Daphnia pulex: one gene and its partner. The main gene of each other region encodes a partner of the protein of the gene in region 2 in a complex. Links are inferred from orthologs where the notes say so. Each region holds a gene or a part of one and is shown on either strand. Other genes may lie near its edges. The genes, in order: condensin complex subunit 3-like and structural maintenance of chromosomes protein 2-like.

Region 1 (16,421 bases), on a different chromosome or scaffold from region 2:
TTTGTGTCACTTTTGGCTTCCTCTGTGCTGCTGACCTCTTCCTTCTCATCTTCCTTCTCCTCTGCCTTCTCGTCTTCCTTCACCTCAGAATCTTCATTTTCTGTTGAGCTGTCGTTGACTGTCTTCTTTGGGGGTCTGCCTCTGCGACCTAAAAGAGGAAAATGAAAAGGATCAGTACTTTTGTACAACTCGGCAAATCAATTCTGCCACTCACCGGTACCGGGTGTAGCTTTAGGAGTCTTCTTGGGAGTCTTTTTCTCCTTTTTGGCTGGGGGTGGGGACGCAACAGCAGCTGGCCTCGCACCAGATCTCGTTCTCCTCCTGCCTTGGTCTTCACCATCTTCTTTGTATCCCATCTCCTACACATAACATTTCATCAAAAATTAGAAACGGACAACAATCAACATGTGCAAGTGGGTACCTTGAGCAGAGCTTCTCCTTCTTGAGTTGTTCGTTCCAGGGCAGTTAATTTCTTCCCCAAACCTTTTTTTCCTTTGGCTTCAGCAGCATCATGCTTAAGAAAAGATCAAATAACACAAGAATAAATTCCCATGTTCAACTACGCGTGGCGTCGCAACTGGTCGCAAAAATAATTTCCCGCCAAAAGTCTGTTCGAACGTCAATGGATGCTGGCAACCGACGCCACACATATCTAATAAACAAACTCCCCACTTTGAAAAGAAAACAAAGCGTGCACTTGGAATTTCTTTGAAAACATTTGAAAATCCAAACAAGAAAAGCATTTTTCAACCGAAACTCGAAGTAAACGTTGATAATCGGATTACAGATGTCATAAACGATAGAGAAACAAAATCCCCCAAAAGGCCCAAGGCATAATGTATGGTCGTCAACGGCTTTCTCCACCCCAGAGACCCAGGGCAGCATCTCAATCTTAGGCCTATTTCCGATTCATTTGCCACACGAAATTTCAATTCCCTCATTTTTCATACCTGGTTGTTTTCACTCACGACTTCGGCCACTTCACTCGACATGTTGATTATTAATCCAACCGATTTCAGACGAATATTTCAAAGTGAGAAAGTGAGAAATCCAAGCCAATACCGGCGAACACGGGGTAGTAAACAAGACACACCAGAGAGGACGCTTTTGATGCTAAGCTTGCATGGTCACGTGATTAACGCCATCTTTGACAACAATGCCAGATCGCTATAATTGGTTTTGTTTTTGGAAGAAATTCACGAAATTTCAAATAATCAACAGCTATTTTTTTGCCACGAATGATCGAGTATATTTTCAGTCATTCTACGTTTGTTTGGTCAAAGTAATATCCAGAAAACGAAATTTTCTGTCAATATATAGGGAAATTTTAATAATGGCATAACAAAACAAATAAATAGAAGGTTTGTCAGGATCAGAATAAGATATAATAAACACTGACGCGCAGAGGAACAAAATCAAAGTGAGTATGAAGGTTTTTAAAAAAAGCCATTTGTTCGCTTTTTAAGTAGGTGGGTTTTTTTTGCGCATACATTTTTTCGTTTCTTTTTTAATACTCTTTTCACTTTTTTTTTTTTTTGTATTTGTTGAATGTTCACAATTTCATGTCGATCAAATTGGCCGCCGTATCAATTGAGCTTCTTCCGGCACCGACGGCAGAAGCGCTGCCTCCGGCCAGTGGAGAAGTTCGACTCCGGACGCAACGGTAGACGTAAGCTGAGATGGATACATCGTCGCCCGCACGCAAGCAACGCTCTTGCGGTCGGTTGCACGTGCAGCTATTTAATTTTAAAAAATGTTTCCACATGAAAAATTGGCCAATCAAAGTTAACAAATAAAAATAGAACCTTACATGTTTCGGACGAAATAGTCCATCTGGCGTGTATTTGAATTGTATACTCCCCAACTGAAGGCCAACCAATTCGAAATTAAATCACGAATTTCTCAATAGGGAATATTAAATGTTCTGACTTACCCGCAGGGAGTGTGGAGTCCGCATAGCGTTGCTTGGCCGTTGTTGCCACTCTGCCTCTATTTAGAGAGTAAGAAAAACAATTATTTCCCAATTTATGGCTAATATAGTCTACGATTGATTGTAATATAGAAACCGTTAGTTACAACCTTGGCGACACTCATGGGTCGAGCAGAGTGGATGATAAGCAGCAAACTAAAGAGAGCCAATCGAAATGCAGCACTCATGTTGTTTGATTTTTGATCCGTTCGTCCAAAGTTCTTGTTCAAACGAAATACAAAGGGAGCTATCGTGTAGCCTCTAATATATCTTGCTCAATTGCTGCTGGGTAGATTCTGAATAGACGAAGACGATGCGTGCTGGTACTCGACTGAACCAAAGAGTTCGACTGAATGGAATCGCTACGACTGGAAACGTTCCCTTTTATATGCTCGTGGCCGGTGGCACCACCACTCTCGTCTGGCCATGCTATACGTTATTTCCCAATTCCCAGGCACCCACGCACCCAGATAAATACTACAGGTATCAAAATGCTATACCAAAGCCTCTCTCTTTTCACATTATATACCTTTTTTCCTTCACGGTCAAAGAGTACGTAAATAAGCGCTACTCGGCGGTATTTGGAAAGTCGAAAAGTATAGAATATGATGACATACTGGACAACACTTGCTGGATAGCCTAAATTTTGAGATATATTCCTTAACTTATAAGTCTAAACACATTCTCTATTGTGATTGCTTGATCTTCTTATCCCGAAGAAGATTTTTTGGAAATACTTCGTCTCATTTGACCTCAGCACACCGACAGCCTTACAAAAAAAAACCTTTGGCTGCCGCTTCCGGTGGTCATTAGCTGGAAAAGTTCTTTTTCCCCCCTACTAATCCCCCTTCTTTTAATAATGGTCATAAGCGAAATGATTTATGTTTGTATTAACATTCTAGTAAAAAGAAGACATTTTCCCTATATGCGTCGTCTTTTATATAAGTTAAATCCTTAACTGCGCCGTGGAAAAAAGAAACGTCAAGCCAACAGCAGTTGGTAGGATTAAATAGGGGAAAGATATGGCTGACGCAATCACATCACGAGTAGCCGTAAGCCTATTTTCAAATGTTCTTCAACCCAAAACTGGAAATTCAAGAATATAAGGGGCAAACAGTAAAAATAATAGGTCCTATATATTCTTTTATCGTGTCTCCGTTTTAGATAAGTAATACAAATTACTAGAATAATAAAAACCCGTTTTTATATAATGCATGGTTCGACTAGTTGATGAATGGCTACCAAAGATCGGACCATTTTTTTAAAAGAGGCAATCAAAAATCCAGACTGGATTTCCGCTTTGTGCATAGTTACTGAGAATAAATAGAAATAGAATTTTATGTTGAACCAAATCTAAAAACTGGACTGACGTCATCATCAACTCCGCATCATTTTTCCTGAAATAATCCTTTTAGGATTTGTGTTGTTGATTCGCAGCTCCATTCATCCGATTGAAAACGAATCCAGAGTAATGGATTGCGAGGGTGTTTGTCTTTACCGCCGACACCATCATCAATAAATGCCCACTGTAGTTGTAAAAGTTAACCTTAATCGAATATCCAGCTGATTACACCCGGAGGGGCCTATATAAAACAGAGTATAGAGGGAGGGATTAAGCTGCCATCGGTTATATGTAATGCGCAGTGACTGAATTGTGCTGTAGAGGCTCAGCAAAACAAAGTTATAATTCTTATTGAATGTCACAATGGCCGCCCGCACACGTGTAAGTTTGTTAAGAAAGGAACTATAGATGAGAATATCTATTCAAATGGATAGTAGAAACGTCATTTCCCGCCCAATCCAATTATGGGTCAAGATCAGGCCCTTTTCCATAGGTCAAAATAGATGCGTAGTAGTATACTATGGCGGTTTCGGTTATCAAGCTGATGCGTAAGCAATTTCAATTCGGGGGCTGTTACTCAACAACCAAATGTTACTACGTATATAATCGAATATCTATTTCAAAATAGTATCATCGCAGAGCGCATCCGTTGCCATTGATAGTATGTGTGTGCCGATAAAAGTCATCAGTCCTTGATGGATTGGGGTTTTGATGGATTGGATGGATCGTCCTGACAGCAGCGGGGGATTGTTGCTATCTCGACAAACTCGCATAGGTTTCGTTTTCAATTAAGTAATGAAAGAAGCTGTTGACGAGTTGAAAAAAGAAATTATTCCATGTACTATAAGGCTTCTTCGAACGTCAATGTACTTGTTTCTCGGGAATCACTACAACGGCGTCGAACCATTCAATCAGTCGCTACACCAAACTAAACTAAAAATAAGATTCATCACCAATCAGATAGATATACAGTTACCTGTATTACTTACAGTATCATGAATGAGATCTGCCGTGAATGATCTAAGATCTTCAACTGATGATTTCTTTGAATCACGCGCACCGTCTTACGCGCCATCTGTTAATCCGTAATGTGACTGGTGGTGACATTCGAGTTGAACTGTCAAAATAATAATAAAAATAATAAAAAAAGTACAAAAATTGAGACAACCGGTGTCGCCTTGACCGGCTTGAAAGCCAACATTTCCAACGGGAAAGTTTGCATACGTGGCGAAAATTTCCTAGAAAATAATACCGAAATAATTGCAAATATCAATTCGACACGCTATTATTATTATTATTATCCCTCTCGCACGCACTCCATTTGAACAATAACACGACACATGTGTTATTGTTCATAGAAATATTTCACATCCTGGGTTGAGACTAGTACATCCTGTGGGCTGGGTTTCACATCCTGTGACTGGCCGGATCTTTGATTGGGTCTACTGTCAAACATTCAAATCATTTTTCAGAAATATTAGTTCTTTTTTTTTAACGGAAAATTGAAAAAAAGAAAGAGCCTCATGAACAATTCAAATGTCATCACCCGGGAAGAGGAGCTTTAGCCTCATTGTGAAAAAGTTATTTTAGTCCTTTTTATTATCTGGAAATTTTTTTTTCTATCAACTTTAACCACGAGTCCACGAGACCCCGACATGTGATTAAGAATTCTATATGCAATCCAACTACGCTGTGTGGTTATAAATGTGGTCGAGATAGGACACGTGAAAGCAATCAATGTTTATATTGACTGATGCGCAATAGATTTCTTTTACCTTTCTCCACCCTTTACTTTGAAATCATTCAATCAATAGAATTTATGTATTTTTTTAGGGTAGGTAGAGCCTGAAATATTTCCTGAAATTCCATTAAGCCATAAGTGATTCCAGGGAAGCCATCCGAAAGATGGAAATTCTCCAGAAGTTTGGACAAATCTGGAAATAGGCGATTCAAAGTCAAAAACGTTGAAATAGGTTGGATAATCAGATCTTATGAAACAGGACACAGTATCAGATTTTATGAGTGTGTAATTCAATGCTGCAGACTTGGAAGAGATTTTTTTCTGCCCGAGGGCTCTTGTTTGATCGATCTGAAAAGCCGATAAACAAACAAGCGTGTTTGTGGGAATTGCGTCGTTGGGTTTTCCATCACGCGGCGCTAGGTGGCTCTGTCGTAGCTTAGATACCCAATAGCGAACGAGCCATTGGTTCGCCGTCCCCTACCCCCATTTCCCTTACCTATCCCAGTCAGATCAGCAGCAGGCCAGCAGCTGAAAACGAACTCGTGTTGGATTTTGTTTTATTCTTCCGTCATCTTTAGAGCAAACTACACTTATGTTTACAATTCGGCCAATCCGGTTGGTCTTGGTAAACATTTAACTATACAAAAATATTACTTTCATCTTAATTGATGTGCAATTGCATTACGTGTTATGTCGAATGCAGATACATTCATCCATCTCTTCGCTGGCGGGTAAGATTTTTTTCGTTTTCTTCGTTTCGGTTCATTTTTCGTCTTCTTCCCCCCACTAGGCAGAAACCATTTTGGCCATTACGCCGAACACACCGACATCCCTTCCTTTAGTCTTAGTCAGAAGGGAGGTAGGGATTAAAATTTTCAAACTACATACTACATTATGTTGCCTTGGGTTTTAACTTGGGTGAGGGAGATGGTTTTCATTTAACCTATAAAACCTATCTTACCTGCATCAGTTATCTTGCCCAGTGTACCCTTCTCGTTATCTTCCATTTCAGTTTCCCTCCTAAGTTGGTCCACTCCACAACTAGAATTTAAGCAGTGAGGGATGTTTGTGCATTCCAAAATAATGGCTTTCTTCTGAGCCAGATGTTGTAATTTGAATCCTAGTGTGTTTGCCATCGAACTCTAAAATATACGTACTTCAGTTTTCAAATCCTTGCAGCAACTTTTCCCTTTGAAAGTTGCAGGCTACTAAACCATTCCAAAGACAAGTTGGCATTTGTTTGAAGTTAGTATTTTAAGAGGCGACATTTTTGGCTAGCCCAACGCACTCGTTGACCCATTCTCGTTGCTAGGACTCAATTTTTTAATGTTTCTTTTCTGTGACGACGTAGGGTTGGTGGTACTGTGGGAGCCATAGTGACGTGCCCACTTGAAGTTATCAAGACTCGCCTGCAATCGTCTTCCTCTGAAATCCACTACAGTGCAGTTCGCTCCCTGCGAACAGCTTCGTCCAACGCAGGATGCAGCGCCAATCACATGTATTTCACTCCAGAAATGAACTGGAACGTTTATTATCATCACCAACAATGCTCGTCCGTCAATTCGAGGTTGGCTGTGTTTCCTGAAGCCGTCCTCCCTTGGCCGGCGTCTTCCGCCCAACCCAAAGGAGCCCTTTCTTGTTTTCGGTAAGAAAAGGGAATTCTATGAAACAAACGGAATATTTAATCCTTTAATTGACTTGTTTGTTTGCTCTACATATATACATTTAAACGATAATAAAAACTAGAACTATAAAAAGGAGATAAGGTGTGGATTTCGATAAGAACAACGGTTAATTGATCAAATTCTTTGCCTTCTCACGTAGGCACCTGATCGACCAAGAAGGATGCCGGGCGCTATTCAAAGGTTTGGGACCAAACCTGATTGGAGTGGCCCCCACTAGAGCCCTATATTTTTGCACCTATTCAACGGCCAAACGAAAATTCAACCAGATCATGACTCCAGATTCTCACTTGGTCCATATGCTCTCGGCTGGCTCTGCAGGTAAATATGTCCCTCACGTCTAGTTGCGCAAAATTTCTCTTTTCTGTCCAGTCGAGGCCGGTTTTTCGCCCATATCGCTTTAGTTAGACATAGAAGGACGTCCTTGTATTAGTTGTTCTCTTCCCTTTTAGTTGTCACTTTTTAACGCAATAACCAACTTGGCATTTAGCCCAAAATTCACTTCTTGCTGGCAGTCGGGAGGGGGGTTAAAACTTGCTTTAAAATGACGTTGCACAAATTATATATTCCTTTTAAAAAGAATGCATGGAAGAGAAGACAAAGTCATTAGGAAGAATGTATTAGCTGATTCACCCTGGGTTTTCTATGTGAAAATAATTGAATTAATTTCGTATGCGGGTCAGCATCAAAGGGTGAAAAAACCAGACTTGTCCGGTTGGTTGGCTCAGCCGTCTTTTTTTCTCTCTCCACTTACCTACGTGATTCACGTAACGAATGCCCAGTTGCCGTTTCTCTCTCTCCCCCCTCCTTGGAAGAATGGTCTGGTGTATTTTTAAAAACGGAACACGTGCACAAGCCGTGCTCCTGCCCAAGGTTCGCCCAGACTTTGAATAAGTTAACAAAATCCACTCCGGGCGGGAAGGAGGGCATTATTACGTAGTCTACCTATAGAGCCCGTTTCTAACATTCGCGGATATGGCGCATTTTCCCGTTTCGTCCTTGGGACGGTTAAGGAACTCGTTGTGGCCTACGTAGTACGTCATTCGCAAATTGAACAGATCCATAAATTAATCGTTTTTTATTAACTTCTTCCTGTTTCCACAGGATTTGTGTCGTGCACTTTAACCAATCCAATTTGGTTCGTCAAGACACGTCTGCAGCTCAATCGCAATCAAAACGTCACAGCTTGGCAGTGCATTTCCAACATCTATCGTAGTCAGGTAATTTGGAAACCAATTCGTCGTGACGTTACGTAACAGGCTCAGCCAGCGCCACCAATCTAATTTTGGAATTCTTTTTTCTTTAGGGTGTTGTTGGCTTTTACAGAGGAATAACAGCCTCATATTTCGGTATCTCAGAGACCATAATTAAGTTTGTACTTTACGAGTACCTGAAATCGACCCTGCAACAGATGCGGGAAACGCAGACGGACAGTCCACTGGGCAACTACCAAGCCATGGACTACATGCTAGCAGGAGCCATCAGCAAGACGGTGGCTTGTTGTGTGTCCTATCCGCATGAAGTGGTTAGGACCAGGCTGCGTGAAGAGAATTCACGTTACAGGGGATTTTTTCAAACGTTGCACACAGTCTTCCGCGAAGAGGGACATCGAGGGCTCTATCGTGGACTGTCGACGCAGTTGATCCGGCAAATTCCCAACACGGCCATTATGATGACCACATACGAGGCCACAGTTTACGTGCTCAACAGGTAAAAATAATAATTAGAATAATCATAATATTCTTAATAACTAACCGGTTTTCGATTTTAGTTTGGTAAACGAAAAGCGGTACACTGGTTCGGAATAATGAACTGCCGTCGCTGTTTTCAAAAGTCTTCATTCATGTAATCTCCCACCCAAACCCCTTTTTCTTAATCAGCTTTGTCTTTCGCGCAAAATATCGAATTGTGATAGTTATTCTGACTATTTAGATTGTGCCTTTTTTTTTAACTTAAGAAAAAAGAAAAAAAAACGTGTATAGAGCTTGTACAGTATGACTAGTCACTCGTTATTCACTAGTTATTTTGCGCAATCGAATTCATTTGTTAAAGTGTATAAAAGGGTGCTTCCAGCACACACTTGGAGTAATTCTTAATAAAGTTGTCTTACAAAATCGATATGTGTTTTATACCTTTTTATTTGATAACAAAATCCACCTAAATTACATTCACAGTCACCAATTTAACGTGTCGACAACATGGATTGCAGACTAAATATCAGGCTTGATGATTTTCTACCAAAGCTTCTCTCTATTGACAAGACAATTTAAATGCCACCTCCTTTGGCGTCCTTGAGACCGAGAATATTTCGCTTGTAAAACGTATTCATCTGTTCGAGGAAAATAAAGGTGAGAACTGTGTGCGGTCCGATGCGTGCGTAGTACGGCGTGAATCCCTTCCACAAAGCTAGGATTCCTTCGTTGCGTACGACGCGACCCAGTACATCGACTGCGCCCTTGTATTCTGGCTTGCCGTCAATGAACCTCATATTTTGCAGCCTGAATCAATGCCAAAAATGTTATTTTCTCTTATCTTTCGATACTAATCGATGATAATACGACGTAGTTACCTAGTTTTTGCAATGTCGACAGGCATAGAAGCGGCTGTCGTAACTAGACCACTGATCATGGAAGCCCAGAAGTGAAGAATCACGTTTTCACTAAAATAACCTAGAGAAAAAGAGCCGTTTAGTTTTTGCGCTATAAATGTGGGCGTTAAAGACTAGACTGACCAGTTGACATGAGAGATTGTTTAGCTTGAGAATAGGAAGCAAGTTGGGCGGCATTTACCACCATTGCCCGAGCCATCGTTGGGATCGCTCCTACGATCAATTCAAAGGAGATTTAAAAGGAAATTCAAAAAGGAAGAGAAATTTCCAAGGAAATTTCCAAAGGAAATTGCAAAAACCTCTCCAGAGAGTGACCAATCCTTCCTCCCTGACCATCCGAACCAACGCGTCACCGACGTGCTTGTAATTCCTTCTGTCTGCCTCTGGCAGTCTTCCATCTGCTGTCATACGAATAAGGGCAACCTATAATAAGTAATGAATACCGGTAACTTTTTGTTACCATGTGCCCTTTTTCACTAAAATTACCTCAGCTGGGGTTCCCACAAATGCTCCTACAACTCCAGCAGCCATTCCAAGCACAGCTTTTGTTGCAAAACCTGGTGGTTTTCCATCAGGACTAGAAATAAAAAAACAATATAGATGTATTGAACTATAACATTTGTCAAGGTCACAGTCCTACTAACCCACTCATGGTGTCAAACAGCCATGTGTAAATTCCCAGCCTAGTTGTTGTATAGGTTGCCTGTCTCAGAAGGCCTGCAGATAAACCAGAATACATGCCAGAGATACCCTCTTTCATCATGATGGATCTAATTGCGTGCAAAGTGTTCCTGTGTTCTTTGGCTTTGCCACCTTCACCGCTCAACTGCATTCTGTTCTTAATAAGATCCATAGGTTGGACAAACAATGTGGCAGCCATTCTAAAATTGACAAAATCCTTGTTAATAAAACTTATATATAAATAAAGTAAGACTGTAACAACTTACCCTGACAAACCTCCAATAGCAAACCTAACTGGTTTTGGCATTTGAGCTTCACCCATTTTAAATCTAATGGGATATACTTGTTTAAAACTTAAACAAACCCTCAGGAATGACGAATAAACTATTTAAACACGTACTCCAGTCTGCTCTCAAAACAAGACACCGGAGACCGTAGCCTACAGAGACAGACGAGTGATCTGTGATCAAAAATCCAGAAGCGATCGTTGATCAAGACATCTACCGGCATATCACAGTATGATATTTGAATTTCACAATGTCACACAATGTCACAAATGAGTTATTTTTCTAGTGAAACATTCTGGAATTGCTCAAGTGACCGAAATTTATTTGTATTAATATCTCTTACAGGAAAGTAAGTAAAATTGTAAAGGAGAAAAAAAAAGATGATAGAAAAATGAAGAAAAAAAAATTTGTTTTATCAACGCTTCCTGGTTGATCTTGCCGACTTTTTAGTATTTTTATTTGGAGGTGGGGTCGGAGGTATAACATCTTCATCCTCGTCGGAACTAGAAATCACGGCTGGTCTCGTCGTTCGTGTTCTGCGCAGAGGTGGGGAAGGAGTTGTTTGTTCCCCACCGTCCTCGTCGACACTGGAAACCACAACTGATCTCGTTGATCGTATTCTACGCCGAGGTGGGGAAGGAGGTGTTCGGTCCCCATCGTCAACGGGAACACTGTCCTCGTCGACACTGGAAACAACGACTGATCTAGTCGATCGTGTTCTACGACGAGGTAAGGAAGGAGGAGGTGTTGTTCGTTCCTCAGCGACAACGGAAACGCTGCGTGGAGCCTGTCGTCGAGTTCTTGAAGGTACAGTTTTCTCGCTGTTTGTGGTCGAACTAAACGAACGAAAATTTGATGAAAATAACACGTAGAAAGCGAAATTAAATATGTAATCACCTTAAATCCATTTGTTCAATAACAACCTCATCCATTTGTTCAATAACAACCTCGGGTGATTTTTCACGAGGTTTTTCCTTTTGAGTGCTTGTCTTTTCTGGGCTGAAGAAAACATCGGAACTTTGGGAGACATCGACGTCGCTACTAGTATCCATTAAAAGAGTCGCTGCATGTTTACTTCCTAATTTTCTTGTTCTTGGCTTATTGATGGGAGGAGATGGGGGAGCAATAACAGGTTCAACTTCCATATCGGAATCGTTTTCAGTAGCAGACTTGGCCGAGTCCGCATTAGCCGTCAAATGCTTTTCTACGATAGATTCAAATTGCTCAATCATTCTGATGGAACCCTTCTCTCTGAAATTTCGAAGCATTTTCCGGATAAGAGTGTGCAAGTCTTTAGTGTTTGACGGATTGGAGAACGACATGTTCAACTGCAACAAGGCCTTGAGGTAGACTTTACTTTCGTTCGTATCAGGAGATCGCATCGATTCAGTACAAAGTTTCATAGCGAGTTGATCGTGGATGGTGTGATCGACCTCAGGCTTGGCGGCTAATAAACTTTCCTAAATAGCAAATATAACAAAATTAGGTTACTTGTAATTAAGATATTTGTAATTCATGTTAAGGCTTGTAACATTAAGTTACCTGTGTCAAGTCGACAAAGAATTTGACGATCATGGAAATGTCTATCTCCGCCAAAGGAGAAGTACACGGGGCCTTTTGAATGGTCTTGATAGTCGGTACGAAAGCCGCCTCCAATTGCTGTTGGTTTGCAATATCCATGGAAGCAAAGAAAGGAAAAAAGACGTGGAGGACTTGACGCAGACGAACGTTTTCATCCGTCAGCGGGTGGAACAGGAAAATGACCAAGCGCGAAAGAATCATGGACGATTCAATTCTACATGTCACATTTAAGTTATTAATACAACGAAAAGGAAAAATTTTACTGACATTTCAAAAATACATACCGGGAAGCAATCAATAGTTTAGCGAAACCCTCGACAGCAATTGTTTGAACATCTGCATCTTCACTATCCAACAGATCAGTCAGCACTGTAGCTAGAGATGTACCACTCTCTTGGTCCTCAAAAGTCTGAAATGAATCATGTATGATTTAAGTTTCTTGATGAATAAAATAAGAGTAATGCATGACTCACGGAAAGACCAAATAATTGAACGAGATCAAAGAGAACTTTGGCTGTTGTGATCTGAAGGATTTGGTGATCCATCTGAACTGCTTGTACAAACAAGAGCAAACGTTGTTGGGCCAGTTCCAAGTCGCAAGTACACAGGCAACCCAAAGCTTCGAAAGCGGCATTTCGGACAGCTGGATCGATTCTCTCGACGCAAGGCAAGATCAGAGACATTAAAAGTTGGTCCAATTCTTTCGTCAATTTAAGCATCTAATAAAAAAGAATCATTACTAACCAGCAATGTTACTGATTTTTAAAAATAAGAATGAAATATACCGGCGAATTTTTTAGCAGCTCGCAAACGGTGCTGAGACACTTTAGTAGTGTTAAGGGATCATCTCTCTCTTCGCGGAACACTTCAACGTCATGAGTGGTGGGCCGACTGCACAACTCGCTTAGTTTCGTCTCCAAAACGACCATCTTTTGTTGAATCTCTTGGGCACCAAGAAAGTTTTGTTTGTCAATGGCCTCCTGCAATTCTTCCTTTAATTCGTTCACCTGGACTCGGCATTGAGCAATCTATTCAGAAATAATAATGAATCAAAAAATGAATTTCTTTTGGATCCAATAAGCCAGTTCACCTCTAATTTGTTTCTTCGCTGCTGATCTTCTGGAATGAGTACTTCCGCCTGAGTTAGTGGCTCTCGCAGCTCTGAAATGACCTCAAGCAATTTGGCGATGCGAACATCCAAATTGGGCTCAATCAGACTAATACACTTGACCATGGTACGAGTCAATGCTGGGCTAGTCTTTTCGTGTTGTAAAAGATCGCAGAGATCGCGTCGCAAGTTCAAGCGACCCGCTTCATCCGCAAGGTCAAAGTGTTGTGCCATCTCCAATAAGTTGGCAACGATAAATTCCATACTCAATACCTAATGGCATACATAATGACATGTTTTAACGAAAGAATACAATTTTAGGAAATACAATGTTTTTACCTCCATGTCGTCGGTTTCGGTAAGCCTTGCCAAAACGAAAATTTTCAAATATTTCCCAAACGCTGTCATTTCTGGCATAATGGTTTCAAGAGCATCTGCTGCATGAACTCCCTCGTTTCGCAGGAAAGAAACGGCCGTGCACCAATAAAGAGCCACTTCTGGCTTTAACGCTTCGATACTAACCAGATTTTCTTCACCAATAGGCAACTGAGATGTTATCTCCTTGTAGTTGAGCGTTTTCAACCAAACTTGCAAGACTTGAACAGCAGTATCGCTGCAGCCTTCCACATCAAGACCACGCAGGAAATTGAAGATGGAGCCTTCCATGGCGTTGATCCAGGCAGGGATAAGTTTGTCCTGCACCATGGTCGTCACAGCAGCTGATTTGTCGTTGAGTCCGAGGTTCAAAATTGTCACACGATTGGCAATTGATAATGTTCGGACATGAACTCTAAAAATGAAAATAAATGAAGATAAAAATAGACAGCATGCAATTATTGTTTATTCTTCCACATACCTCTCACTAATGAAGATATAGGCCTGCCTGCGAACAAGGTCTTTGACGTCACGCAGCCTGACCAAAACGAATTCGAGCGTAAAATAATTGCATCCAAGTGCCTTAAGTACAGCTCGACGTACTTCGGGATGAGGATCTCTTTCCAAATGGAAAACTAATGCCTGTACAAGGGTGAAACATTTTTTAAATACAGAAAAGTAAAAACATTTTTAACGCCAAGTTACCTTAATAACTGGACATTCTTTGTTGGTAGGATCTTGCAGGCGCTGTAAGGCAATGACAGCCTGGACCCGAACTGAGGCAATTCTGTCTTGAATTCTTTCAAGCATGGCATCATAAATTTTTTCAAAAAGTTCTGCGCTGATGCAAGCAGACTCATTCAACTCTTCTAGCATTCTATTAATGAACTGGCACACTCTAAATCGAACAGCCTGGCTCTTGACATTGTGATGGGACAAAAGAAAATCAAAAAGTTTTTCATAGAAAGGGTGGCATTCACCATCTTCATCTTCTGGATCTTTTTCCAGTTCAAACGATGTTGCAAATTTGGCTGCAAAATCTAAACAAAAGTTAACAGCAGTCTCCCTTTCTCCATGAATCAAGAGACACTTGAAGCATTTAATAAAATGTTGATTAAAAGAATCTACATCTTCAATTTGGTCATAGACTTTTCTAAGGTTCTTTACTAGTTTGGGGTGATCAGCAATGGAATGTTGGCTTTTGGTAAATATCTCTTCAATGTGTTTGTTGCCTACCATTTTACTCAGCCTGCCTTGGGCTTACAATATTTGTACCAAGTTCAAAACTGATGTCAGGAAGCGGATCTTTCCAATATTGGTAAGTATTGAAACTATTAGCGATCTCTTCTTTGCCCTTATCTGTTTCTGTTTCAATGCGAGGTTCCTTGCTGGGAGGTATCGTGCACTTGTCAACCTCCGATTTCCGCTTCGACAAATTTTCTTTCAATTCCAATGATTTTGTAGAAAGCATTGGGAAAATTATAGAGCAATTCAAAAATCAGTCTTCTAATTATCTGAAATCACAAAATTTTCTGAAAATAACGAGAGTACGACGTTTCTCAACGGCCGCTTAAACTTTTTTGAAGCGGAGAGACGATGCGACGTTGACGAGTAAGACGAAATAAAACAAGGTGACAGGTTTTTTTTTAATATCAGAGCTATAGATACCTGGTCAGTTCATGGCTGTGTTGGCTTCCCTATCCCGGTTTCAGGGTAAACGTAAGCCGATTGGGAAAAATGGATGAGCGCCTCTAGTGAGTGTGTCAGCTACTACGTGAAGCCAGCCAATCAGGAAGGGTCTATGAAAAACTCATTGGCCAATCACAGCTTACTTTTCTACAAGAAGTGAAAAACAATAATAAAAGGTTTTCCATAATAAAAAGGTAGAAATATCCAACTGTCAAACCTCTAAGTTTCAAGCCGTATTCGATTTTGAATAGCCGGTTGTTTTCGCACAATCCTAAATTAATTTGCCGTAATTTATAAAATGTTGTACTATTTTCAATGAATGTTTTTACTTTCCAACTATTAGGCTCGTAACTTCAGCACCAGTTCATCATCCCAGCAGTTGGTGAAGGTAAATCATGTGAGTGTGGTACAGGTACATTTTAACCTAATTGTGTAATTGTTATAGGCTCCAGTCCAAGTTTTTGGGTTGTATGGTCGCTATGCCTCAGCACTCTACTCTGCTGCTTCCAAACAGAAATCTTTGGACAAAGTTGAAAGCGAGTTGAAGGACTTTCATGCAACTATCGCCAAAGATTCTCGTTTGGCAGAATTCATTGCCAACCCCACTTTGAAGAGATCACTTAAGAAAGATGCTCTTATTTCAGTTGCCAAGAAATTGAAAATGAGTGCTGTTACAGGCAACTTCCTTGGTAAGTTTTTATTTTCTATTGGTTTTCACTTTATTCTAATTGTTATTCATATGGCTATGATTACAGAACTCCTTGCTGAGAATGGAAGACTTAACAAATTGGATGTTGTCACTGGCCATTTCTTTAACATGATGGCTGCATTCAGAGGTTAAGTTGTATGTGAGGTCACCTCAGCCAAGGTAAAATATAAATCTAAAAAAAATTAAACAATTACATGTTTAAAAAAATCTATTCTTATATCAAGGCCTTGGATGCTGCTACATTGAAAGAGGTTACTGCCGCTCTTTCTGGATTCTTGCAGAAGCCAGAAAGGACAGTCTCAAGATTTCAACCAAGGTGGATCCCTCCATTGTTGGTGGACTTGTAGTTGTCCTTGGAGATCGCTACATCGACATGAGTTTGGCATCAAAGATTGAACGTTACACCACTCTCCTTAAACAACCCGTCTAGAAATTTAAGTTGGCTGCGTTATAGTGGGAAACAAATATGTACATCAAATGGCAAAGATATGATGTAGTGGATATGAAAAATAAAAGAAATCGTATCACGAGGTTCTCCTTGTATGCAAACAAAATTGTCATTGTTATTTCAAACACCACATTCAGCTAAAGACAATAATTTGTGCACATTATATCTGGTTGAAACATTTGTCTCTTCTTGGTCCATAAG
Region 2 (16,402 bases):
TGATGTTGTTATTTTTGATTTAGGAAATGGGGGGAGGTTGAATTGAAGAAAGATGGAAATGACGAAATGGGAGGAGACAAAAAGGCCGGCGGTTGTCGGTCCATCAACGGAGAAAAACTTGACGTCCCGTTTAGTACATTTGAGGTCTGTGTGTGTGTGTGTGGATCGCGGTCTGGGTCATCACCTGTGCACCGCGCCGACGTCGTTTTCCAACTTTTGTGGCTTTCACGACGAGAAGAAAGCCAGTCCCTAGACCTAATCGGTTTTGGGACGTTGGCCTCATCTCTCTATCTATCTATCCTTTTTATTTTTATTTTTCCCCTTCCGCGTCTGTACCGACGGGACCAACTAAGGCATACACACTGGGGCGTGTGTTCATTGCCTCGTTTCTTTCCTTTTTTTTTCTTCTTCTTCTCCCATTTTCTATTTTCCATCCAGCGGGATAGTTAGTAACGCAGTGGAGAGAGAGTCCGTAGCCAAAAAGAGCTCTTCTTATATACGCTCGGAAAATGACGATGCGAACAACAACAAGAGGAGGAAATTCGTGGCCGACTTCTTCTTCTTTTTTTCGCAAAAAAGAAAACACATCCCACCATCAACCAATTGGCCCAGCTCGTAGATTCGACATATTTTTCAGTCCCAATCTGACTCTTACATCTGCCCTCTTATGTATGCGGGAATTTTGACTTTTTTCTTTCTTTTCTATTCGTCGGGGTGTACTACACACATAAAACGATGCCAAATATGTGGCCAGTCTGTTGTTCAGGACATTGTTTTGACCTCCTTTTGCCCTTCTCCCGCCTCTCTCTCTTTTTTTCAGACTCTGGGGCCGTTGCTGCTGCTGTCCGATCTCTAATTAAAGCGACGGCACGAACCCCATGGTCATGCCAGCAAAGAAAACAAAACCAAAAACAATCTTTATACTCGCCCGTTGTTCTTTGATCGCTCGCGGAGAAAGGGAAAGGGCGAGACCGGCTTTTGATGTGGATTGCTTGATTTGATTTGATTTCCTTTTTAGCGGTTTGGCTGGGGGTTTTCTTCCTTTGAAAAATGCACTACTTGTCGTACACTCGTTTTTGGTGTTGTTTTGACGTAATAAAAAAGCCCGTGGCCTCATTCTGATTCTGTATTGCGTAATGACTGATTGACTATTTTTGGTTTTGTACTTTACTTTCAGCTGGACAAAATGGGCTTCGGCTGGAACAAGAAGTCGGGACGGGGACAGATGAGTGGCGCCCCTGGCACACTCTCACGTCCGCACTCTGAGGTCGACTTCTCCGAGATGGACGAAAACGCGCACATGGCCGTCGACAATATGAGCGAAGACGAAGTTAACACCGCCTTTGAAAAGATGTTGGTACGTCCTGAATTTTAAACAAATACAACAGCGTAAAAAACATAAAAGTAGTACCGTGTTGAACCAGAAATTCATAACCTCCTTTCTGGTGCCGCCCGGTTTTTATCTAAGTTATATGATTCATCTCTTTATGTTATCTCCGTCATCTCTAATTATGGATGTTTTTTTTGTTTTTTTTTGTTTTTATCTTTTCTTTGTGTTGCCTGGCTGTCTGAAGGATGACATGAACTTATCAGAAGAAAAGAAAGAACCGCTGCGATTGCAGCAAAACCATCGCAAAAAAGAAATGTTGGCCATGCACATGAAGGGCACAGTCCAGGTAACAATTTTGAGTTTTTTTCTTACCTAGTCATTCGACACATTCTTTTCCAATCACAACAACAATCGATATCCTCATTTTCAATTTCTTTCTTGCTCAAATGTCCGTGCAGAAACACCGGAATCGATTCGATACGCCGCAGGATTACATCGTCTATCTGGGCAATCCGGACCTGAGCGTCCACAAGATTTACACGTGCATGGAGTCGCTGAGGATCGCCCTGACCAACAACCCGCTCACCTGGGTCCACGACTTTGTCTGCGAGGGTTTGAATCAAGTTTTGACCATCCTCAACGAATGCTATAGAAGGTAGAGCGTAGGCGCTTTGCATTCAGCGACCGGCTGTTTATCTCTCGCCCCGTATGGAAATGTTTCTCAACTCGTGATATGATTATACAGGGACGCGAGATGGGACAGGGTCCAGCACGAGTGCATCCGCTGCCTGAAAGCCATTTCCAACAACAAAGTTGGCTTGAAGAAACTGTTTGAGCACCGCGAGGCGCTGACGCTTCTTGCACGTTCTTTCGTCCCGTCCCTGCCGGCCGTGATGGTCGAGGCCGTCAAACTGATGGCCGGTATCTGCTTGGTGCCGCCGGAGGGACACGAGCGTGCTTTAGAGGCCATTACCACCAGTGGCGAACTCAAGAGCATTTTTCGCTTTCAGCCCATTATCGAAGCCCTGTCCAACATGGAGAATGACACGCTTACGGTGAGCCAAACGGGCCGGAAACCCAACCTTGATTATCAATCCACCGTGACTCAATGCTATCACTCACGCACTCCTTCCACACTTTCACATCGTTCATATCTCAATTGATCAAAATCTAAATATTTTTCAAAGGTGGCCTGCGTCCAATTGATCAACACTATCGTCCTCACCCCCGATGATTTGGACTTCCGGCTGCATTTACGTAATGAATTTATGCGTGTCGGACTCGCCGACCTCCTTGACGTAAGGAAACCTTTCAACCACCGCACCGCCCAGTGGCAAAAAAAAATCATTATTTTCTTAATTTATTCATGAATAAATCATAATTATAATCTTTTCTTACATCCGGCTTTAATAGAAATTAGCCCAGAGGGACTGCGTTGACCTGCAGTTGCAACTCAAAGTGTTCGAAGAGCATCGAGATGAGGATTTCTATGAATTTGCACAGCGTTTTGACAACCTACGCCTGGATCTCGACGACACTGTGGTCAGAAATATTTTCAACGCTAGAAAAGGATCTGGAAATGCGAATCATAACTTTTGTTTTAAATTCATTCTTTAGGAATGTTTCGAAGTGCTGCGCAACTCGGTCGCCGAAACGCCAAGCGAGCCGTTCCTGCTGTCCATTCTACAACATTTACTTTTCATTCGAGACGACCCCAATGTCAAGTCAGTTTCACTTGTCACCCGCCGACAGAATTAGATCGCGTGTTTTATTTTTGCCGTTTCTCTTTTGCCATTCTGCAGGGTTTCGTACTACAAACTGATCGAAGAGTGTATTGCTCAAGTCGTTTTACATAAAAGCGGATGCGATCCGGATTTCTCCGCCACCAAGCGATTTCAAATTGACGTCGAACCGCTGATCGACATCCTTTCTGGTGCGGATTAACTTTTGACAAATGTGTGTTTCGAAAGTCGAGTGCTAATTCATCATTTCTAGAGCGCGCTGCCAAGGATGGAGAGCCCAGGGTGGATGAAGTCAACAAAAAGCTGGAGGAAGCCCTCACGGCGAAGCAGGAATACGAAGCCAAGTTGGCGGCTGCCAGTCAACGGATTGCGGAGTTGGAGAGTTATTTGGGAGGAGGCAAAGGACCCGTTCCTAGACCCTCTCCACCTCCTCTCGCCATGTACGGCGGTGCTGGACCTCCACCTCCTCCAATACCAGGTGGCCCGCCTCCTCCCCCAATGCCTGGAGCACCACCTCCACCCCCAATGCCCGGCTGCCCGCCTCCTCCCCCAATGCCCGGCTGCCCGCCTCCACCCCCATTGCCCGGCATAGGTGGGCCTCCACCACCCCCTCCTCCTCCCGGAATGGGAGGAGGACCAAGACCTCCACCTCCACCCGGTGGTATTCCAGGATTTGGTCCTCCACCTGGAATGCCCGCCACGCCACCCAGGCCGGATATTCTTCCGTTTGGAATGAAACCAAAGAGGAAATGGCAGTTGGACATGCCTCTAAAACGAACAAATTGGAAAACGGTATAGTTGATTGACCAGGAACTTTAGATCGTGACTCATATGCATGAACTCATACTGGAATGTTTTTGTACTCAGATTCAACCGCAAAAACTCTCCGAAAAGGCGTTTTGGGTCAATGTTGAAGAGGATCGGTTGGTATCGCCCGATCTCCTGGAAGGGCTAAGCGCTAAATTCTCTTCCAAACCTCCCGCCAAGAAAGCAAGAGAAGGAGACTCGGACAAACCAATGAGTAAAAAATTCAAAGAACTAAAAGGTATTTCGACAGACAGAGTTTCATGTTTATTGTCCCGACTATGATCAGATACTCACCAAAGGCTTGAATGTTTTTGTTTTAGTGCTCGACGGCAAGTCAGCTCAGAACTTGTCGATTCTTTTGGGCGGATCTCTCAAGTACTTGAGTTACGATGACATTAAACGGGCGATTCTTCACTGCGACGAATCGGTGCTATCGGACAGTGTTTTGCAGCAACTGATTCAGTACATGCCCACACCCGAACAGCTGAAAAAGCTTGAAGAGTACAAGGAGCAATACGATAGTCTAGCCGAAGCTGAACAGTTTTCCGTTACGGTAATCCATCGTCCTCCAAGGCGTCTGCCTTCAGTCCAACTTTTCCCAAGTGTTTTTTTTTTTAAGTCTATTTTTCTTTCTCCGACTGACAGTTGGCAAGTATCAAGAGGTTGGTGCCGCGCCTTAAATCCATCAGCTTCAGACAGCACTACAATGAAATGGTCCAGGACATTAAGCCAGTGAGTTTTTGATTGCAAATGACAAACAATTGGGTCTGTTTATCCTTCATGTCGTATTTCTTCGCTAGGATATTGTTGCGGCTACGTTGGCTTGCGAGGAGATCCGGGACAGCAAGAAATTTGCAAAACTTTTGGAACTTGTTCTGCTAATAGGTAATTACCTGAATACTGGAACAAAGAACGCTCAAGCAGTCGGTTTCGAAATTTCCTACCTTCCCAAGGTGAGATTTAAAAAAAAAATTACCAAGCATACAAATGAAAGCAGTTCATTTAAAACTGATTCGATTGTGTTTCTAAATTAGTTGACGAGCACAAAAGACGCCGAGAATAAAACAACGTTGCTTCACTACTTGGTGGACGTGATTGAAGAAAAGTTTGCCGACATCCTTAGCTTCAGTGAAGAGGTTCTCCATGTGGATCGGGCTTCCCGTGTCTCGATGGATACAATCCAGAAGACACTAAAGCAGATGGACAGTTCAATCAAGAACTTGGAGACTGATCTGAAGAACGCCAAGGCGGCCATATCCGACGAAGACAAGTTCTTGGAAGTCATGGGCAATTTCGCCCGGGAAGCTCGGGACCAGTGCGACGTCCTCGTCAGAATGGGCAAGAAAATGGAGTCTGTCTACCACGAATTGTCCGAGTACTTTGTCTTTGATCCGCAAAAGTACACGTTGGATGAATTCTTCACCGACGTCAAAACCTTCAAAGATTCCTTTAATGTAAGTTTCTGTTTGTTGTTTTTGATGATGGAACATCCGGATAAAGTATCGTGTTAACCTTGAAACTTTTTCTCCAGCAATGCTATAAAGATAATTGCAAACTGCGTGAAACGGAGGAAAAGATCCGACGAGCGCGCGAAGCCAAGGAGAAAGCCGAGCGGGAAAAACTCGAACGCCAAGCCAAAAAGAAAGCGCTAGTCGACATGAATATTGACGACGACCAGGAAGGTGTCATGGACTCGCTGCTGGAGGCTCTGAAAACGGGTTCCGCTTTCTCCAGAGATCAGAGACGGAAACGGGATCGACCCCCTCGTGCAGTCGGAGGTAATTAACTAATTATCGTTCATCACGTTTTGTCATCTCGTACAAACATCGTAGAACTTGTTTCATTATTTGGCACGTACCAAAGACACCAGTCCGTTAAGTCGGTTGTAGAATTGAGCGAAGAAGGTTGTCTAGAATGTGAGTTGAAGCGTATAACATAACATTTCGTTTCCATATCCCCAAAATTCGTACGTTGCTCTCCTTTGCAAATCCTGTTGGCAACGGCGCAGACCGATCCAACCGAGTTCACAACGGGTAAGAGATCCCCAGTTCAGTTACTGCAATCTAAAAAAGTTGGAAATTTGAAATGACATGACCGCTTCCAAGATGATGGCACGCCGTAACCGAATTGCTTTGGATTTTATTTCCCTCCCCCGCCACTTGCCGGTGTTTGGTATAACTTTTTTCGTGTGTGTGTGTGTGTGTGTGTGTGTGATTTTTTAAATTATTATTAAGTTTTGCTGCTGACTACCCGAAACAGTTTTTTTAAGGTATACCAACATTGATTTAAAAAGAGAAAAAAAAAATAACGCGTTCAAAAAGTTGCTGCCTTTAAACTTTGTTAACAGCTTCGGACACAGTGTTCATTTATTTATTCACCACAACTCATCGTTATTTTTTTTAATCCGTTTGATGTAATCGGCTTGCAAACCATTTTTATTTGCATGGGCTTTCGACAAGTGCCTTTTGTTTGTACCGTCTAATGATGATTTTTTTTTAAATTGTTTTTGTCTTCGAGCAGCGGAGCGCCGTGCACAAATGAATCGCAGTCGGTCCAAAGGAGCGCTACTAGAGTCCCCTTCATCTCGGGAAATGAAAGGGTATTGAACAAATTGTTAGTCATTTTCCGATTGCATTGTTTCTGATTTTGTATTGATGAAAACAGGACATTCGGTGACGAAAGACCTCCAGTTCCTGCCATAACGGATGACTTGACGGATGGGCTAGCCATGAAAGCGCCTCGCCCAAGAAAAGCGCGACCACCGCCCAAGTTTGACATGGCTGCCGAGTTACTAATGAGTGGAGGCCGAGAGAGGGAGGTGAAGCTCAACAACGGAGGTGGATACTTAGCTGCCGCTGATGACGGATCAGAGGCAGACAGACTGATGCAACGATTGAAAGCCCTTTAACGAAACCTCACCCCCTTTCCCAGATGTACTTGCTCCATTCCACTATATTTTGTTCCGAAATCTGAAGCCCATAGACGTGCCTTGTTTGTATTGTACAGTATGTTTTCCATGAACATATCTTTGCGCTTCAGAATATGTGCCATTACGTTATATTCACCGTGGGTTGCTATCATTCCATTTCCATGAGATCTTCCAAAGGGGTAGAATTCTGGTCTGTGGGCGTTGTGCTTTTCTTTTGGGACTCGCCAGTCATCTGTTGTCCAAGCAGTTGATTGGGAAAGCCCAAAGTTTGTCAAATTGGCCTTTTGGATTTTTACATTTGTCACCCAACGCTTGATGGATCGTGCTGACATTTGTACACTGATGAAATGTGCCTGCCTCGTTACATTGTTAATTACGCCTTGGTTTGAGGCATTCGGTTCACATCGATTATCCTTTTGTTTGCCTTCTGTACTAAATAATATGACTATGACTTAACATGACTGTCTGTCTGTGAGAGAGAAGTTTGCAATTCTGTTTGCTATCGAATTTATGTTTAAAAAAGAAATTTGCATGATTCCATGTAAACACAATCGTGCTGATCGTAAGACCCAAGGATATACTGTATGCCCTTTTTTTCTGCTCAGCTCCTTGTTGTTAATTCTCACCCTTTCTCCTTCACGAGCCGAAGCAAATAGTTTTATTTATTATTTTTGAACACTTTGGGCTATATTTATTCTTAGATAACAACTGAAATTTTCTTGTAAATAGATATGTACAGTTGTGTCTGGTCGTAACAAAAAAAAATTGCAATACAAGTGGGACAATGTTCCGTGCTAAAAAAAAAGGAAAAAATTACAAGTGAGCAATTTTGACTAAATTTTTTAAACATTTAAAGGACATAATCTGACGCTGTTTTAGAATCTAACGATTTCTAGGTTCTTGTCGTTGGGTTCTTCGTTTCTAGGCATCCTCTGGTTGCCGTTGGTTGCTCTGTGGTTCTGGTACTCTGGCCAGAGCCACAGTAGCATCACGATCGTAGCATGTAGCATCGTAGCATACTATCTCTCTCTGCTCTGAGTGTGGGGCCAGGTGGGGCCGCTGGCTTCTCTGGCTGTCAGTGGACCAGTGGACATGAGTCGGCAGTCGCTGACTCGCTGTTAGGGCTGTGGCCCGGACGTTTTTTAGCGGTTTTTTTTTTTAAATGGGTTTTTTAGATGGGTTTTTCTTCTTCCGCGGGTTGGGCCAACAGAGTAAATGGGTTCGGCCCGGGCCGACCCATGGGTCAAAAAATTTTTACCGGCCGGGTAAAACGGCCCGGATAAAAAATCGGGTCAAACACACTTTTTTTTTACAAACTTAAAAAAATTCCCTAAATTTCTTAATTATCTTCATCTTCCAACAGTGACACGTCAATTCTGTCTTCTGAACACCCCTGAACGCCCTTTTCTACCACTTATCCTACTTTTCATGCTACGAAATTATCGTGCGTTTACATACGCATCAAGTGTGGTGGGAAAAGGCTTCTTTTTTTGAAAATCCAATCCAGAGTATTTGAGGGTTGAAAGCATAGCCTACGTAAGTTATGCGTTGAGCCGTTGAAAGGAAAAGGAGAAAACAGCGGGAAAAGACGTTGAGTGGCTGGCAAGCCGTGATCAAGTATTTTTGTGTTTTAAAAAATGTACATCAAATCTATGGTAGTTGATGGTTTCAAATCCTATGGCCAAAGAACTGAAATCAATGGATTTGATCCAATGTTTAATGCCATTACAGGGCTAAATGGTAGTGGTAAATCTAACATTCTGGATGCTATCTGTTTCCTTCTTGGCATCACAAATTTGAGCCATGTAAGAGCAACAAATTTGCAAGAATTAGTATACAAAAGTGGACAAGCAGGTGTCACGAAAGCCACTGTGACAGTCACCTTTGATAACAAAGACAAAAAACAAAGTCCAATTGGCTATGAGCATTATGATGAAGTTACAGTGACTAGACAGGTATTGTTATTTATGATTTCATTATGACTAGGATATATAGTCTATGTTTCCATATTTTCAGGTTGTCATCGGTGGAAAAAACAAGTATCTCATAAATGGATCAAATGTTCAAAACAACCGTGTCCAAGATTTTTTCCGCTCTGTGCAGTTAAATGTCAACAATCCTCATTTCCTTATCATGCAAGGAAGAATTACTAAAGTATTGTGCTTAACTCATTCATCAATTTGTGGTTGCATTTCAGTGTATAAGTATGTGTTTTCACATTGCAGGTTTTGAATATGAAACCCCCTGAAATATTGGCCATGATTGAGGAAGCTGCAGGGACCAGAATGTACGAAGCGAAAAAGCAACAGGCTTTGAAAACAATTGAGAAAAAGGAAGAAAAAATCAAAGAAATCAATGACATCCTTTCAGAAGAAGTTACGCCAACATTGAACAAACTGAGAGAAGAACGAACTCAGTACCTGCAGTTTCAGAAGTCCGAACGTGAATTAGAACACTTGAACCGCCAATATGTAGCTTATAGATTCCTCAGCCTTGAAAAAGCTAATGCCCAAGTAAAGGAGGAATACAATGAGATTTTAAAAGAAAAGACAAATCATTGTGCCACTGAAGAAAAACTCAAAAATGAAATTGAGGCACTGGAAAAAGAAATTCATACTCTTCAACATCAGAGAGACCAAGTTGGTGGCAAAGAACTTACACAGCTTGAAGAAAAATTGCGTGTTCAAGAAAAAGCCGAATCGAAAGCCCAATCAGCTGTTAAGGTGCTCAAGGAAAATATTAAAGCTGAAGAAAAGAGGAAAAAAGAGCTGAAGAAAAGTCTTGACGACGACACCGCTGCTTTAGAAGGTAAAATTTTAACTTTTATTTTATATATTTTCAGTATTATAGCGTATTTATATTCATCGGAACAGGCAAGGAGGTAGAAGAGAGTAAACTAGGCGAGACATTTGAAAAATTAAGGCAAACTGAACAACAGGATAGTGAAGCTTTGACAGCTGCCCAAAAGCGCTTCCAAGAAATCAGTTCTGGTTTGTTGGCCAGTGACAATGGTGCTGCGGCCACTTTACCTGAAGAACTCATGGCCACGCAAAAGAATGTTGCTCAAGCCGAGTCGCAGTTGAAGCATTCGGAAATGACAACCCAACATCTAAAAAAAGAGCTGAAAGTTAAAATTAATGAGATGAAAAAGTCGGAGGTCGATTATAAAAAAGATGCACAAAACTCTAAGCACCTCGAGAATGAAGTTAAGAGACTGGAAGCCGAACTTGGGCAGGTTCACTATGATGAAGAGAAAGTAACTAATTTAGAGCAGTTGCAAAGAAGCTTGAAACCGGAAATGCATTCGCTGCGAGAGAAAATTGAATCATTCGAAGCTCGATTTCCTCAAATGGCCTTTCGGTACACCCCTCCTGAAAGGCAATTCGACGCATCTACTGTGAAAGGTTGCATTTCTATAGTGTGACTTTGTTTATATTTCTTTTCTTAACTTTTTTTTCTTCGTGAACAGGTGTGGTGTGCAGTTTATTTGAAGTTCCAGATATGTCCTACGCTACTGCTCTAGATATTACTGCTGGAGGTCGGCTATACAACATAGTAGTCGACAGCGAAAACACGGCAAAAAAGCTTCTTGAGAGAGGCAAGCTCCAGTCACGTGTCACATTTATCCCTCTCAACAAAATTGAAGGCAGAACCATCGATGAACGGACTACGGCAACTGCCAAAAGAATCGTTGGTAAAGAAAACTGCCATACCGCAATATCTTTGATTGAGTTTGAGAACCACTTGACGCCGGCAATGAAGTACATTTTTGGCAGCTCCTTTGTTTGTAAGGGTCTAGACGAAGCTCGACAAGTTACGTTTCACGATCAGATAATGCGTAAAACAGTAACTTTGGAGGGGGATGTCGTTGATCCTGGTGGTACTTTAACTGGTGGCAGTCGAGCTTCTGGCCAATCTGCTATTCTCAGAGTTAACGAAATCAAGCAGTACCGCAACGAATTTGAGGCAAAAGATCGTCAACTAAAGGAAGCGGAACAAGAACTTCGAGTTATGGAGCAGGCTTCAGCACAGTATCGCACTCTGAAACAGCGTTACGATGTGAAAAAGCACGAATTTGAATTGCTCCAGCAAAGGCTCCAGCAAACGCTTCACCACCGCCAAACTCAAGAAGTCGAAAATATGAAGTCGGAATTGGAATCAGCAGAGCAAAAGGCCCTCGAATGCACCGACATCATTAAAGAAGGTAAATCGCGCATCAAGGAGTTGGAGAATCAGTTAAAGAATGCCGGTAAGATTCGGGAAACTCAGTTAAAAGCAGCCCAAGCTGAATTGGATCGTTGCAAGAAGGCGGCAGCTGCTTCACAGTCTAAATGGAAGGAACATGCAAATGATGCTGACTCGCTTAAACTAGAGTTGGAGGAACTTCGAAAATCTATTGAAACTACTGACATTCAATTAAAAGGTAACGACATACTGTTTCTGTTATTGAATTGTATGTTTCAAAATTATCTTTGCACTTTTTATTAAATTTTTTGTTCTTCATCTAGAGACTGAGATAACACTAGCCAATTTACATGAAGAAATGAAAGTGTTGAATGAAGCTCTGGCAGTTGAACAAGCTAATGTACAGGAAGTCAGAAAACAAATTGACGAATTTAAGGCACGAATTTCAGCTCAAAATCAAGAAATTTCCAAACGAATTGCTGGTAAAGAACAGCGCGAAGCTCAGGTTGGCTTTTTTTTTAAATCCCAATTTACAATACTTCATAATTCTAATTAATTTCTTTATTTTGAATGCAAAGGTGAGTGAAGGTGAACTGCACTTGAAGAAATTGGAACATCGGCTTTCCAAAGCAAAAGATGACGCAAAAGATTCCGAAAAGCGTGTTGACGCCATGCTCGAAAAACATGCTTGGATAAACGAAGATCGACACCATTTTGGAGTAGCCGGGTCTAATTATGATTTTAACGTCATTAATGGAGCAGAATTGGGACAGCGCGTTCATAAATTAGAGGAATCCATGAAAAAGCTTGGTCGCCATGTCAACGTTCGTTCCATGACTATGTTGACACAAGCAGAGGCGCAGTATAATGACTTGATGCGGAAGAAGAGGATTGTAGAAGAGGATAAGGCGAAAATTGAAAACGCAATCCTGAAGCTGGACGAAAAGAAGAAAGAAACTCTTCAAGTGGCTTGGGAACAAGTGACAAAAGATTTTGGTTCTATTTTCTCTACCCTGTTACCCGGAACCAAAGCAAAACTGCAGCCACCGGACGGTCAAACAGTGCTAGACGGTCTCGAAGTCAAAGTTGCTTTTGGCGGAGTATGGAAAGAGAGTTTATCGGAATTGAGTGGCGGTCAGAGATCCTTAGTGGCTTTGTCGTTGATTTTGGCTATGCTATTATTCAAACCAGCGCCTATCTATATTCTTGATGAAGTAGACGCAGCCTTGGATTTGTCTCACACTCAGAACATTGGGGTGATGTTAAAGCAACATTTTAAGCAGTCGCAATTCATCGTTGTATCTCTGAAAGACGGTATGTTTAACAATGCTAATGTTCTTTTTCGCACAAAATTTGTTGAAGGTATGTCTACGGTCAGTCGATTGGCTCAGCAACAATCGAACTCTCATGCCCGCCCAGCGGAGGAAGAGGAAACTCGGCCTAAAAAACGAAAGTAGACGATTATGTATCAGAAAGCATTTGTAAATCGTACTTCATCTTTTCTGAAGCGTGAACCTATTAAGTGTAATGCGTTCGGTAAATAATAATTCAGTCAGTTACTAAAAATGAATCAATCATTCGTAGTTTTCCTTTATTTTGCGTAAATTAAGTAATTTTACTTGTAGGCCTATTAGTAATTCGCATCTCCATGTTCACTTTCCCAAGAAAAGCAAAGCGATTGAAGTTTTTTCTTATGTTGACAAACATCAGCTTAACAAAAACGACACGACACAGTAATACTTGTGTATTACACATACTTGTGTAATACTGACGATAAGTATTCCACCAAGAAAGCTCACTTGTTAATTTTTCGATAATTGCTTTTTTTTTAAATGTACTAAATGTATTTCACGGAGATGACGAATATTTGATTATTTGGTTTATTTTTTTTTTTTTTTCCGTCCATGACTCTAGTCGTCCGTGGTTGCTAAGGGCTGTCACTAGGTGGCTAAATGTTTCAGTGTGTTTAGGGATTGAACTATTCAACTCTAGTGTGGGTTTCCAGAGGGATGTAGGGGGGTGGGTCACCAAACTGTCAAAGTGCTGAGACGACTTACTAAGCAGTATTTCTTTTGCTGTCGAGACGCTGTCCGAGAAGGTTGAATATTGTCCTTGCTGGGTACTTTCTTACATGACATTTTTCACCCCAGACATGGTAATTCCATCTTTTATTCTTTAATTTTATCAAATGTAATTTTTTGTGTAGTCATGTTAGTAATTATGTTGCCTAACTTTTTGATTCAAGACTTTGTTTCTGAATTAAAATTTTGTGACTTTGTTTCAAGTACTAATTGAGTTTTACTATTCTATTAACTGTTCAGTAGTAAAGTCTGAGCTTCATTGGGTTTTGTTTTTCAAATTGTTTCAATTTCCAGTTGAGTTATGCCAAGAGCTTTTGCAGACGTTCACTTAACTTGTTAGAAAACTTGAGTGGGTTAGCATTTTGCCTAAATGTGAGTCTACGTGAAAAGTATGTGCTACACATGTGTTTTTGTGAGAAATTGGGTTAGACATTGAATTCTTGATTTAGATGGCGTTTTACAACAAATTGTGTTTCTATATAAGAGCTTTCGTGAAAAGATTTGCTCAATAGAACTGTATTTTTTTATAAAACAGAAATTTGCCCTTTCTTGTATTTGAAAATGTAATTGGTGTTTTCCTTTGATTTGTAGGATTTCTTGGTTAAAGTGATGTTGGAGCTGCTAATGGTGTTGATGCAGTGTTCATGGTGTGAGCAGTGGTTTTGCAGTCATTTTTCAGTTGAGATATCTTGAAATGGAGCTTGTGCAGACATTCAGTCCAACATCATACTTCAATGTGTTATTTGCCCATGTTGATGTTTTTTTGTTGAGCTGTTGTGCAAAATAGTCGGTGTTGCCTGGTGGCTGTTGGGCATGTTTTATCGGCTGCCTTTTGTCGATGTGTCGTCGTCTCTTGCCACCTGTACACTCCTTAAGGTAATGCTTTATGGGTAATTTCATTTAATTATTGGCTTGAAACAAATTTTTTCGTTCTCGTTCAGTTTAATCGTTCGCTGCCGTTCCATCGACTTGATCCATTGGTGAAACTGAGATGAGGTTGCAGAAATTGAAATGAGGTTGCAGAAATTGAAAACTGATACATTATTAGATTTAGACAAATTAAAAATGCATGCATGTTCTCCCTTTTCCCTAAGTAAACTGTTTCCGCCGTTGGTTATTCGTCCGGTCGAACGGGAAATAGCAATGAAATGATCTGATGTAATTTTGGAGAAAGATTAGTTTGACCACGAAGTAATTCTGAAATTCTCCTTTATGATTCGCGATTAACTCTACCTCATTTATATAACCATCTTAACTCGTTGCTCTACATATGACCATAATACTGCTTACAATAAAATATGAAATCAAATTCAATATTTGTTCTTTTTGACATGCATACAATAATTAAACGTTATTGCAATATTTATAAATAAATCAATAAAATATCCTGTCCAAATTTTTATTATTTTTTTCCGCTTTATAAAAACAACCACCATATTATTTATTTACTAAGTCTTTTTCGATAAAAATTGGCGATGTCCGATTATCCCTTGTTTTTTTATTTAGAAAAGAACAATTGTTTTTAATATATATTTTATTATTTTATTTTTTACAAACATAACCACATGTATATTTTATGGCCCCCAGGGAGGGGGGGGCCTGTGACTTTCCCAACCGCGATAATAACATGTGCCGTTATTATTTTGTTGGTGCAGAAAGCCGGAATTTAATCTAGCAGTTGTCGACTGAGTCAAACCTGACATAGATCAGGTTGCCTCAATCGTATACTGCACAATAAAAACGCCAAAGACGACAATGGAACCATTTCAAGACTGCAACACAGGAAATCACTGGTAGAGCAAAAAAACACGAATGAGAAAAGATTTCAAACACAGGATAGCATTGGCAGAGAGAAATACACAAATGCAAACAGAAAAAATATTTAAAGTCAGCGACCCAGATATCACTGGCAACTTCAGGCTAGTTCAGGATACCGCCAGCACAGCTACTTCTGGATAACACTGGAACCACACGCTGCATACAACAGTTCAATTAGTCTCCATCACATCTTTCACCACCTGGCTGCAACAAGGTAACCAACAGCGGACCTGTTCAAGAAAATTTAAAAATTACCATCGGGGAAAGACAGTGTGTGCACAATTACACAGGACTCTTCATGGCAAAAGAATACCAGGAGTAAGACAAAGCTACGCAGTCCAACAGATCTCTCCGATATCTCAAATTTTACAAAGGAAGTCATAGTTGGCATCAAATTGCAAATTGATCTCTAGTCATATTAACAAAGTACTTTAGTAGGAAATTAGATAAAAATAATTACTTTTGCTTTTGCATGGCACGAGACATACGACTGGGTGCAGGCAGCAAGACGCACGAGGCACGACATTTCGGCAAAATGGACAGGCTTCCGAGTTAGATTGCTTAACAAAGTGGTATTAAATCACCTGTCAATTTACACATCGAAATTTAACATTAAGTAACCCTAAGAAATTAACAAAAAATACCTTTACATTTTCATCATGGGAAACGTCACGACAGCATCCCACTTCTCATTCGTCAAGGAACAAAATGGCCGAAGACGCTCAAGCCACCTAGCGACAGCCAATTGGATTGCTTCCTTGCAGACAGCAAGCAGCAGCTAAATTTGAATTCCTCACGCCTTTCACAAGCTGGCACGAAATGAATCAATTGGGGATGGATTACTCCAGCAGCTTTCCCTATGACACAACATACAAATGATTTAGTTAGCTATTTCAGACTATACTTTTTCAACATCAAATGTAATTATTTACAGAAAGTATGGGTATGATAGCAGCAGAGAATTGGATCTGGGGATGTCTTCAATATCTTGAAGATTTACTATGATTTAACACTGGAAGTTAACCTGAAATATTATGTAAACATTAAATGACTGTAGAAACTATTTAGCTTTGGAAGACATAGCTTACGTTATTGGATTGGACCATTTGATCTCTATATTGTCACAAGCACCTAGCTCAAACATCAGCTGAAATTTCTGAAAACATGAAGTCAAGAATGCAATAAGAACCATTAGCTAAATGATGTGGTAAATGTTATTAATTAACAACGGTTAAACTTACCTCAAAATCCTAATCTAAATATTTGTTTTGATTTTTTGAAGTAACTTTAACTTATGATGTGTATCATGCAATTTAGGAGCAGACAAAGTTTCCCAAGAGGATTCTATTCTGTAGTAGGGCATTTAGCCCAGACAAAGCTGTCACATTCCTATGCTGCTCTCCAATTATCAATGGCCATCGACACTTACAGAAAAAAAGAAGGATTTATCACAGGTAAGGCACAGTGCAGAATGACAGGAATAAAGCTAAAAGGGTGATACCTAGAGGTA

Evidence for each region.
Region 1: structural maintenance of chromosomes protein 2-like (region 2) and condensin complex subunit 3-like share a complex: the UniProt entries of both Homo sapiens proteins name them as parts of the condensin complex. The link is inferred for Daphnia pulex from reciprocal best matches to the Homo sapiens genes SMC2 and NCAPG.

What each region holds. Positions count from the first base shown.
Region 1 is NC_060020.1:456,367-472,787, reverse strand, and holds condensin complex subunit 3-like, read right to left. Parts: upstream 15,108-16,421; 5' UTR 14,614-15,107; coding exon 14,080-14,613; intron 14,017-14,079; coding exon 13,856-14,016; intron 13,790-13,855; coding exon 13,339-13,789; intron 13,273-13,338; coding exon 12,982-13,272; intron 12,920-12,981; coding exon 12,677-12,919; intron 12,611-12,676; coding exon 12,365-12,610; intron 12,301-12,364; coding exon 12,176-12,300; intron 12,106-12,175; coding exon 11,853-12,105; intron 11,771-11,852; coding exon 11,208-11,770; intron 11,152-11,207; coding exon of another isoform or gene 11,147-11,151; coding exon 10,726-11,146; 3' UTR 10,612-10,725; downstream 1-10,611. Other genes in the region: protein PXR1-like, read right to left, coding at 1-148, 215-359, 422-514, 951-992; uncharacterized protein LOC124192580, read right to left, coding at 1,553-1,736, 1,811-1,864, 1,934-1,989, 2,080-2,157; solute carrier family 25 member 36-A-like, read left to right, coding at 5,743-5,783, 6,404-6,697, 6,877-7,055, 7,839-7,954, 8,041-8,444, 8,506-8,542; mitochondrial 2-oxoglutarate/malate carrier protein-like, read right to left, coding at 9,001-9,232, 9,304-9,403, 9,466-9,555, 9,642-9,765, 9,829-9,919, 9,987-10,223, 10,290-10,345; uncharacterized protein LOC124193140, read right to left, coding at 16,341-16,421. UniProt on the Homo sapiens protein: Regulatory subunit of the condensin complex, a complex required for conversion of interphase chromatin into mitotic-like condense chromosomes.
Region 2 is NC_060019.1:8,739,218-8,755,619, forward strand, and holds structural maintenance of chromosomes protein 2-like, read left to right. Parts: upstream 1-8,331; 5' UTR 8,332-8,445; coding exon 8,446-8,763; intron 8,764-8,824; coding exon 8,825-8,962; intron 8,963-9,033; coding exon 9,034-9,616; intron 9,617-9,681; coding exon 9,682-10,212; intron 10,213-10,277; coding exon 10,278-11,231; intron 11,232-11,316; coding exon 11,317-11,498; intron 11,499-11,571; coding exon 11,572-12,450; 3' UTR 12,451-13,112; exon of another isoform or gene 13,113-13,183; intron 13,184-13,665; 3' UTR 13,666-13,950; intron 13,951-14,015; 3' UTR 14,016-14,388; downstream 14,389-16,402. Other genes in the region: protein diaphanous-like, read left to right, coding at 1,178-1,357, 1,575-1,676, 1,789-1,985, 2,076-2,385, 2,518-2,628, 2,744-2,872, 2,948-3,054, 3,133-3,263 and 9 more. UniProt on the Homo sapiens protein: Central component of the condensin complex, a complex required for conversion of interphase chromatin into mitotic-like condense chromosomes.